Callithrix jacchus: one gene and its partner. The protein of the gene in region 1 interacts with the protein of each later gene in a pairwise test. Links are inferred from orthologs where the notes say so. Each region holds a gene or a part of one and is shown on either strand. Other genes may lie near its edges.

Region 1 (3,816 bases):
AAAACAGTAAATACAAATATACTTTTAAAATTAAGGTGGGGCATGGTGGTTCACACCTGTAATCCCAGCACTTTGGGAGGCTGAGGCAAGAGAACTGCTTGAGCCCAGGAGTTCAAGACCAGCCTGAGTAACATAGTGAGACCCTGTCTCTACAAAAAATACAAAAGTTAGCTGGTATGGTTGCACGTGCCTGTAGTACCAGCTACTCAGGAGGCTGAGGTGGGAGGATCACTTGTGCCAGGAGGTCAAAGCTGCAGTGAGCTGAGATTGCACCACTGCCCTTCAGCCTAGGTGACAAAGTGAGACCCTATCTCAAAAAAAAAACAAAATTTAAAAAGATATGAGAAGAAATCTAAGTAGAAAAATATAAATGGAAATTCCAGAGTTGAAAAATGTAATAACTGAAATAAAAAAATAACTAGATGGGCTGAGCAGCAGATTTCAAATGGCAGAACAAAGAAGGAGTCAACTGAAAAAGAGATCACCTGAAATTATCCAATCTAAAGAACAGAAGGAAAAAAGATCAAAGAAAAATGAATAGAACTTCAGATTATGTTTAGGTTCAGATTGAATTTTTTAAAGAAACAAAAAACCCTATGGGAGAACACCAAGTGTTTCAGTTTATGTGTTAGCTAGGCACAGTGGCTCACACCTGTAATACCAGCACTTTGGGAGGTCAAGGCAGGCAAATCATGAGATCAGGAGTTTGAGACCAACCTGGCCAACATGGTGAAACCCCATCTCTGCTAAAAATATAAAAATGAGCCAAGTGTGGTGGCACATGCCTGTAATCCCAGCTACTTGAGAAGCTGAGGCAGGAGAATTGCTTGAACCTGGGAGGCAGAGGTTGCAGTGAGCCGAGATTGTACCACTGCACTCCAGCCTGGACAACAGAGCAAGACTTTGTCTTGGGGGAAAAAAAATTTATGTGTAATGAGAGGACCAAGAAAAGAGAAGAAAGGAAAAAATATATATGAAGTATAGTCAAAAACATCCCAAATTTGATGAATACAGATTTCAAAATCTCAAGAAAACCCAAGTATGATAAAAACAAAGAGATCCACTCCTAGACACATCATAGAGAAACTGCTTAAAGCCAAAGACAAACAGAAAATCTTGAAATCAGCAAGAGAAAAACAACTCATTACCTACAGGAGGACTAACAATAGGATTAACAGCTGACTTCTCATTAGAATGAGCTGACTCCCATGCGAGTGGTCCAGGGGATGACATATTTAAAGGATGGGGTATGGAGGAAGAAACTGTCAACCAAGAATTCTATAGCTAACAAAACTATCATTCAAAACTGAACACACAAAAAAACAACATTCCCATATAAACAAAAACGGACTATTTGTTTCCAGCTGGTCTACTCTAAAGAAAATACTAAAAGAAGTCCTTTGGACTGAAAGCAAATGACACTGGATAACAACTTGGACCTATAGAAGATATGAAGATCACTGAAAATGGTGAAAAAACCATAAACAGAGCTAGGTCTTTCTATGCAGATTATAGAACATTTCTATCTTTAGAAATATACCACACAAGGCTGGGCGTTGTGGCTCATGCCTCTAATTGCAGCACTTGTGGAGACCATGGTAGGAGAATTGCATGACAGGAGTCCATAATAAGCCTGAGCAACAAAAGAAGACCCTGTCTCTAAACAATAAAAAATGAGCTGGGTGTGGTGGTATATGCTTGTAGTTCCAGCTACACGGGAGGCTGAGGCAGGAGAATCACTTGAGCCCAGGAGACTGAGGTTGCAGTGAGCTATGTTCATGCCATTGCACTCCAGCCTGGGTGACAAAGCAAGAGACAATACAATTATCCTTATGTTGATATGAAATATACACCTATTATTAATTTATGACATTTCCTTTACTTTAGCAAGTTAGTAGTAAAAGGTGAGGTCAAAGAGATAAGCTGGGGCTAGAGACTAGTAAATAAACCAAGTACAGAGTTTGAATTTTATTCTAATTGCATTAGCGAACGATTAATAGTTAAGTAGGAAATCGGCAAAATTTGCATTAAAAAAAACCCAAAACTATCTTAGTGCTACAGTGAAGGATAGACAAGTTAGGCAGCAGTAATCCCGGAAATAAGTGATGAGGTTTGGACTAGAATGGTGATGAGGATAAATTCTTTTAAATTTCCTAACAGCCTCTTCAGGTAGGTACTATTATCTTCATTTTAGAGTGAGCCAAGGGCAAAGAGAGATTAAATAACTGGTCCAAGGTCAAACACTTTAGTAGGGGCCATACTAAGATTCAAACAAACAATCTGGTGGAAGAGTAGTAAGATGTAGAGAAGGTGAAGTAGTTTTAGAGTTACGGTTATCAAGACTTGCTAGTCAATTAGATGTGAAGATGAAAGAAATAAAGACTATTCCTAGGTTTTTCTTGAGCAACTAAGCTTGGTAGTATAATTATGTAGAGAAAGGATGTAAAATAAGAAGAAAAGGGGTTCCAGGAGCTGAACAGAGAAAGAGGCAGCAGCAGAAGAGCCAGTGCTTGGCAGGAAAACCGGGACAGCATGAAAAGCCAAAAGACAAAGTATTTCTAGGAGGAGAAAGGATAATGTATACAATGCTGCTGAGAGAAGGTGTAAACGAGAACAGGTATAAATGCTGAATTAATGTAGAGAGTTTTCTAGTTGTAAAACTAAGGTAAAAATTTCCATATGATTGCCAGGCATCCGTCTGTTTTTCACCTCATAGTTCACATACCGTAAGAGATCCATTTTGTGTGCTGGGTGAGTTGCTGCTCTGCTCCCCATGGGCTTGCGTACTTCCGTAGAGTGTCAGGTCATGCTCACCGGTCTGGCCGGCATAGTCTTGAGTGTGTGGCACCCCATATTCTGTGGGAATTCCATTCTGCGGAGGTGGTGGAAATGGGATGGTAGTAAAAGGCTGAACCATCGCGTCAGGAGTTGTTGTTGGCTCCTGGTTACCCTAAAACAAACAATGAGAAAAACAAAAAGTGACTCTGAATCCTTCTTACCTAACTAGTTTTAAAGTGAGTAAATGGAATTATCCGAACATTCTCTCACTGCATAGGCTGGGTGCAGTGGCTCACGCCTGTAATCCCAGTAGTTTGGGAGGCCAAGGTGGGAGGATCACTTGAGGTCGGGAGTTTGAACAGTCTGACCAACATGGGAGAAACCCCATCTCTACTAAAAATACAAAATTAACCGGGCATGGTAGCGCATGCCTGTAATCCCAGCTACTCGGGAGGCTGAGGCAGGAGAACTGCTTGAACCTGGGTGGCGTAGCAGTGGTTGTGGTGAGTTGAGATCCTGCCATTGCACTCCAGCCTGGGCAACTGTCTCAAAAAAACAGGAAGTAAGTCCAAGTTTTAGTCATCAAATCAGCAAAAAAAATTAAGCAGTTTTATTGTGATATAACCGTCAAATAATAAACAGCACTTATTTGTTTACATTATACAATTTGGTAAGTTTTGATATACGCACTTATATTCTCATAAAATCATCACAATCAAGATAGTCAACACATATATCCAAAACCCCCAAAAGTTTCCTTGTGCCCCTCAATAATAAGTGTGTATTACTTCTGTAATAAAACCTACGCAATATATTGTTTTTACTATTAAAGAGAATGACAAAAAAATATATTCAATAAAGGGAATCCAATATTCTGAAACACTGAATTACTGTGTTACCCTTAAGAGAATGGTAATGATCTACCTAGAAACGAAAATTCATAACTCTCTTCCATTGAAAAGTTAAAAAACTTCAAAACACAGCTATCTCCACTGTTCAAGAATCATTTCTACTTGGTAATAAAAACTGCTTTATCTA
Region 2 (4,279 bases), on another chromosome or scaffold:
CCTGAGTAGCTGGGATTACAGGCACACGCCACCACGCCCAGCTAATTTTTGTATTTTTTAGTAGAGTAGGGGGTTTCACCATGTTGGCCAGGCTGATCTCGAACTTCTGACCTCAGGTGATCCACCTGCCTCAGCCTCCCAAAATGTTGAGATTACATGTGTGAGCCATCACGCCCGCTTACCGTCTATTCTTACACATCCAGAGCTACGCTGTTAACCTCAAAGCTGGACCACATTATCTTTCTGCTCAAAATCTTCCAACAGCTCCCAATCTCACAACACAAGCCAGGGTCCTTTTTTTTTTGAGATGGAGTTTTGCTCTTGTTACCCAGGCTGGAGTGCAATGCCGCAATCTTGGCTCACCGCAACCTCCGCCTCCTGGGTTCAGGCAATTCTCCTGCCTCAGCCTCCTGAGTAGCTGGGATTACAGGCACGCGCCACCGTGCCCAGCTAATTTTTTGTATTCTTAGTAGAGACGGAGTTTCACTATGTTGACCAGGATGGTCTCGATCTCTTGACCTCGTGATCCACCTGCCTCGGCCTCCCAAAGTGCTGGGATTACAGGCTTGAGCCACCGAGCCCGGCCGGGTCCTTTTTTTTAAAATTTTTTTTTTTTTGAGACAGAGTCTCACTCTGTCACCAGACTGGAGTGCAGTGGTGTGATCTCGGCTCACTGCAACCTTCGCCTCCCAGGTTCAAGCGGTTTTCCTGCCCTAGCCTCTCTTGCAGCTGGGAATACAAGTAAGTGCCACCATGCCCAGCTAATTTTTGTATTTTTAGTAAAGATGGGATTTCACCATGTTGGCCAGGATTGTCTCGATCTCTTGACCTTGTGATCCACCCGTCTCAGCCTCCCAAAGTGCTGGATTACAGGCGTGAGCCACCACGCCGGCCACCTCAGGACCTTTGCATTGGTAGTTCTCTGCTGGGAGTGCTCTTCCCCCAGACATCTGCATGGTTCCCTCCATGTCTCCTTTGTATCTTTGCTTAAATGTGATTTCCTCAGAAAGGACTTCTGTGTCTGTGCTAAGGAACTTCCATCCTTCTTAACATACTTTTATTTATTTATTTATTTTGAGATTGAGTTTCACTCTGTTGACCAGGCTAGAACACAGTGGTGTGATCTCAGCTCACTGCAACCTCTGCCTCCCAGGTTCAAGCGATCCTTCCGCCTCAGCCTCCCAAGTAGCTGGGATTACAGGCGTGTGCTACCAGGCCTGGCTAATTTTTTTTTTTTTTTCTTTCTTTTTTTTTTTTGAGACGGAGTCTTGCTCTATTGCCAGGCTGGAGTGCAGTGGCATGATCTCAGCTCACTGCAACCTCTTCCTCAAAGGTTCAAGCAATTCTCCTGCCTCAGCTTCCCAAGTAGCTGGACTACAGGTGCGCGCCACCACGTCCAGCTAATTTTTTTTGTTTTCAGTAGAGATGGGGTTTCACCATATTGGCCAGGATGATCTTGATCTCTTGACCTTGTGATCCAACCACCTCAGTCTCCCAAAGTGCTGGGGTTACAGGTGTGAGCCACCCGTCCTGGCCAATTTTTCTATTTTTTTAGTGGAAACCATATTTCACTAGGTAGGCCAGGCTGGTCTCCAACTCCTGACCTCAAGCAATCCGCCCACCTCAGCCTCCCAAAGTGCTGGGATTACAGGCCCCAAAAATACAGTGATTATTTTTGTTTTGTACTTGGCTATAATGCTGAATGCCTAGAATAATGACTGGTGCATAAAAGGCACCTGATAATTATTTGTTGACAGAATGATCAAGTTTCATTTGCTCATTTTCATTTTTTAACTTGAATTTTTTGCAGAGACTAGGTTTTACTCTGTCACCCAGGCTGGGGTGCAGCTGCATGATCATAGCTCACTGCAGTCTTGAACTCCTGGGCTCAAACAATCCTCCTACCTCAGTCTCCCCAGTAGCCCTGACTACAGGCTTGTGCCACGAGGCCTGGCTAATTTTTCTGCCTTTTCTTTTTTTTTTTGGAGAGAGAGGATCTGTGTTGCCCAGGCTGACTCCTGGCCTCCAGCGATCTTCCTGCCTTGGCCTCCCAAAATGCTGGGATTACAGGCGTGTCCAGCCTGTTTTCATCATAATAATTTATCTCTTCTTCTCTACTATTCATATATGGTTGGCTATTGAGCACTTGAAATGTGACTGGGAATAAGGAACTATTAAATATAAATTTTAAATATATCAGAACATTTCCGTTATTGCAGAAAGCTCTACGGGACAGCATGCTCTAGAATATAAGCTCCCAAAGGGCAGAAATGTCTGTCTCAGTCATTACTGTGTTCTCAGTGCCTGACACACAAAATATTTGTCATGCTAATTAGTCAACAAACCAAAACGTCAACAGCTCTCTGTACACAAACACCTACTGTGTTAGAGATATTGTGTTCCCTGACTTATATGCCTTAGCTCAACCGTACCTGCTGGTATGTGTTTGTCGCGATAATTGGGCGGATCACAGGAGCCGCTGGGACCTGCATCGCTTCTACCGTGGGGACCGTGGGCACTGCAGGCACAGCAGTTGGGATTCCGGGTACTGGAGCCCCTAGAACTTCCTGCTCAAACCTGGAGGAATAGAACAGACACCAGAGCTCAGGATCTCGTACCAATTTTGGAACTCTGGGTATACTTCGCGGGGACCGTCACCCCTGCCAACCTCTCCCCTATCCCCACCCCCACAATCCCGAAGGTCCCATTTCCCCACGTTAGAGCGCATCTCTGGCCAATCGAGGCCTGGAGGCTCCGGGATTCGGAGGCTCTGGCTCTGGGACGACTTTTATCTCTCCCTGTCGTGGGCCTTACAGGGCCATCTCCGCCTCCATTTCCTTCAAGCGTTCCTCGCCGCTCTTGCCCGGGATGCCAGTGCCAGGGCCCGGGACCACGGGTCCTCCTGCACCCGGGAGTCCCGGGGCTGGCCCCGCCCCAGCCATCGCTGCCGCCGTCGCTGTCGCCGCTACTACTGTCTCAGCCTAGACGCCGCCGCCGCCGCCGGTTCTGCTGTCTACTCTCCTCCTTCGTCAGGGTGGGCTCACCGAGGATGACGTCCAGCAAAAGCGACGGGCGCTGACACATGACGTCATAAATCCGGGCGCGAGGGCCAATGAGACCTGGCCACACCCTCAGGGGGAATCCAGGCCAATGAGAGTGAGAGAATGACAAACAAACGCAAGAACCTGGGCCTATGAGAGCGCAGTGAAGATAGGCGGTCTCGCCTTCCTGGAGGAACACAGGCTAATGAGAGCAAAGCAAAGTCAGTTGGTCCCGTCCCCAATGTGGAATCTGGACCTTTGAGAACGCAGGAAAGTTCGGAGGCCCCTCCTGTGCCACCGCGAAGCCCGCGCTGGAAGTTTTAAAAGACGCTGAAGTCCGCGTCAACCTCAGGGTTGGGCAAGGCTGGGAGGCCTAGCTGGGGTCTGGGGCTGAGGGCTGGGGGCTCCTACCCTGGGGTAGGTTGACACTCGACCTGTGGTTCCCATGAAGACTAGAGATGCCCGGGAGGAAGCGCCTGACCCGAGCTTCCTGGCGGAGGACATCTGAAGACATTTGAAGATGAGACGAGATATTCAGGGTGGGAGCCAAGGCCCACACTAGTGCAACGCAGAGGGGCACGTGCGTGGGCTTGGTCCCTGTCCTTTCTTGGGACACAGCTGACCCCTCTTTTTTTTTCTTCCCCGTAGCCCTCAAAGTGTTTTATTCTGAATATTTTCAAACATGCACATTAGAGGGACTAGTATAACAAACTCTTAAGTACCTCTCAAACGCTATCAATATTCGACACATCTGGATTTCACCTGATCTATGCTTCTCTTATTTTTTATTTTAATTAATTAATTTTGAGATAAGAGTCTCGCTCTGTTGCCCAGGCTGCAGTGGAGTGGTGCCGTCTCGGTTTATTGCAACATGCACCTTCCAGGTTCAAGCTATACTCTTGCCTCAGCCTCCCGAGCAGCTGGGATTATAGGAGGGTGTCACCACGCCTGGCTCATTTTTGTGTTTTTAGAGGACACGGGGTTTCACCATGTTGGCCAGGCCGGTTTTGAACTTCAGACCTCAGGTGATCCGCCCGCCTCAGCTTCCCAAAGTGCTGGGATTACAGGCATTAGCCACCATGCCCAGCTATTGTATGTATGTATGTATGTATGTATGTATTTTTGTATGTATTTATTTAGAGACGGAGTCTTGCTCTTGTCGCTCAGGCTGCAGTGCAGTGGTGTGATTTCAGCTCACTGCAACCTCCACCTCCTGGGTTCAAGCAATTCTCTTGCCT

What was found.
Region 2: the proteins of RBFOX2 (region 1) and RBM42 interact in a two-hybrid assay, tested with the Homo sapiens proteins (2 studies listed by BioGRID and IntAct). The link is inferred for Callithrix jacchus from reciprocal best matches to the Homo sapiens genes RBFOX2 and RBM42.

The regions. Positions count from the first base shown.
Region 1 is NC_133502.1:206,672,285-206,676,100, forward strand, and holds part of RBFOX2 (RNA binding protein fox-1 homolog 2), read right to left. Parts: intron 2,951-3,816; coding exon 2,726-2,950; intron 1-2,725. UniProt on the Homo sapiens protein: RNA-binding protein that regulates alternative splicing events by binding to 5'-UGCAUGU-3' elements. Prevents binding of U2AF2 to the 3'-splice site.
Region 2 is NC_133523.1:31,829,415-31,833,693, reverse strand, and holds the start of RBM42 (RNA-binding protein 42), read right to left. Parts: upstream 3,068-4,279; 5' UTR 2,943-3,067; coding exon 2,815-2,942; intron 2,578-2,814; coding exon 2,433-2,577; intron 1-2,432. UniProt on the Homo sapiens protein: Binds (via the RRM domain) to the 3'-untranslated region (UTR) of CDKN1A mRNA.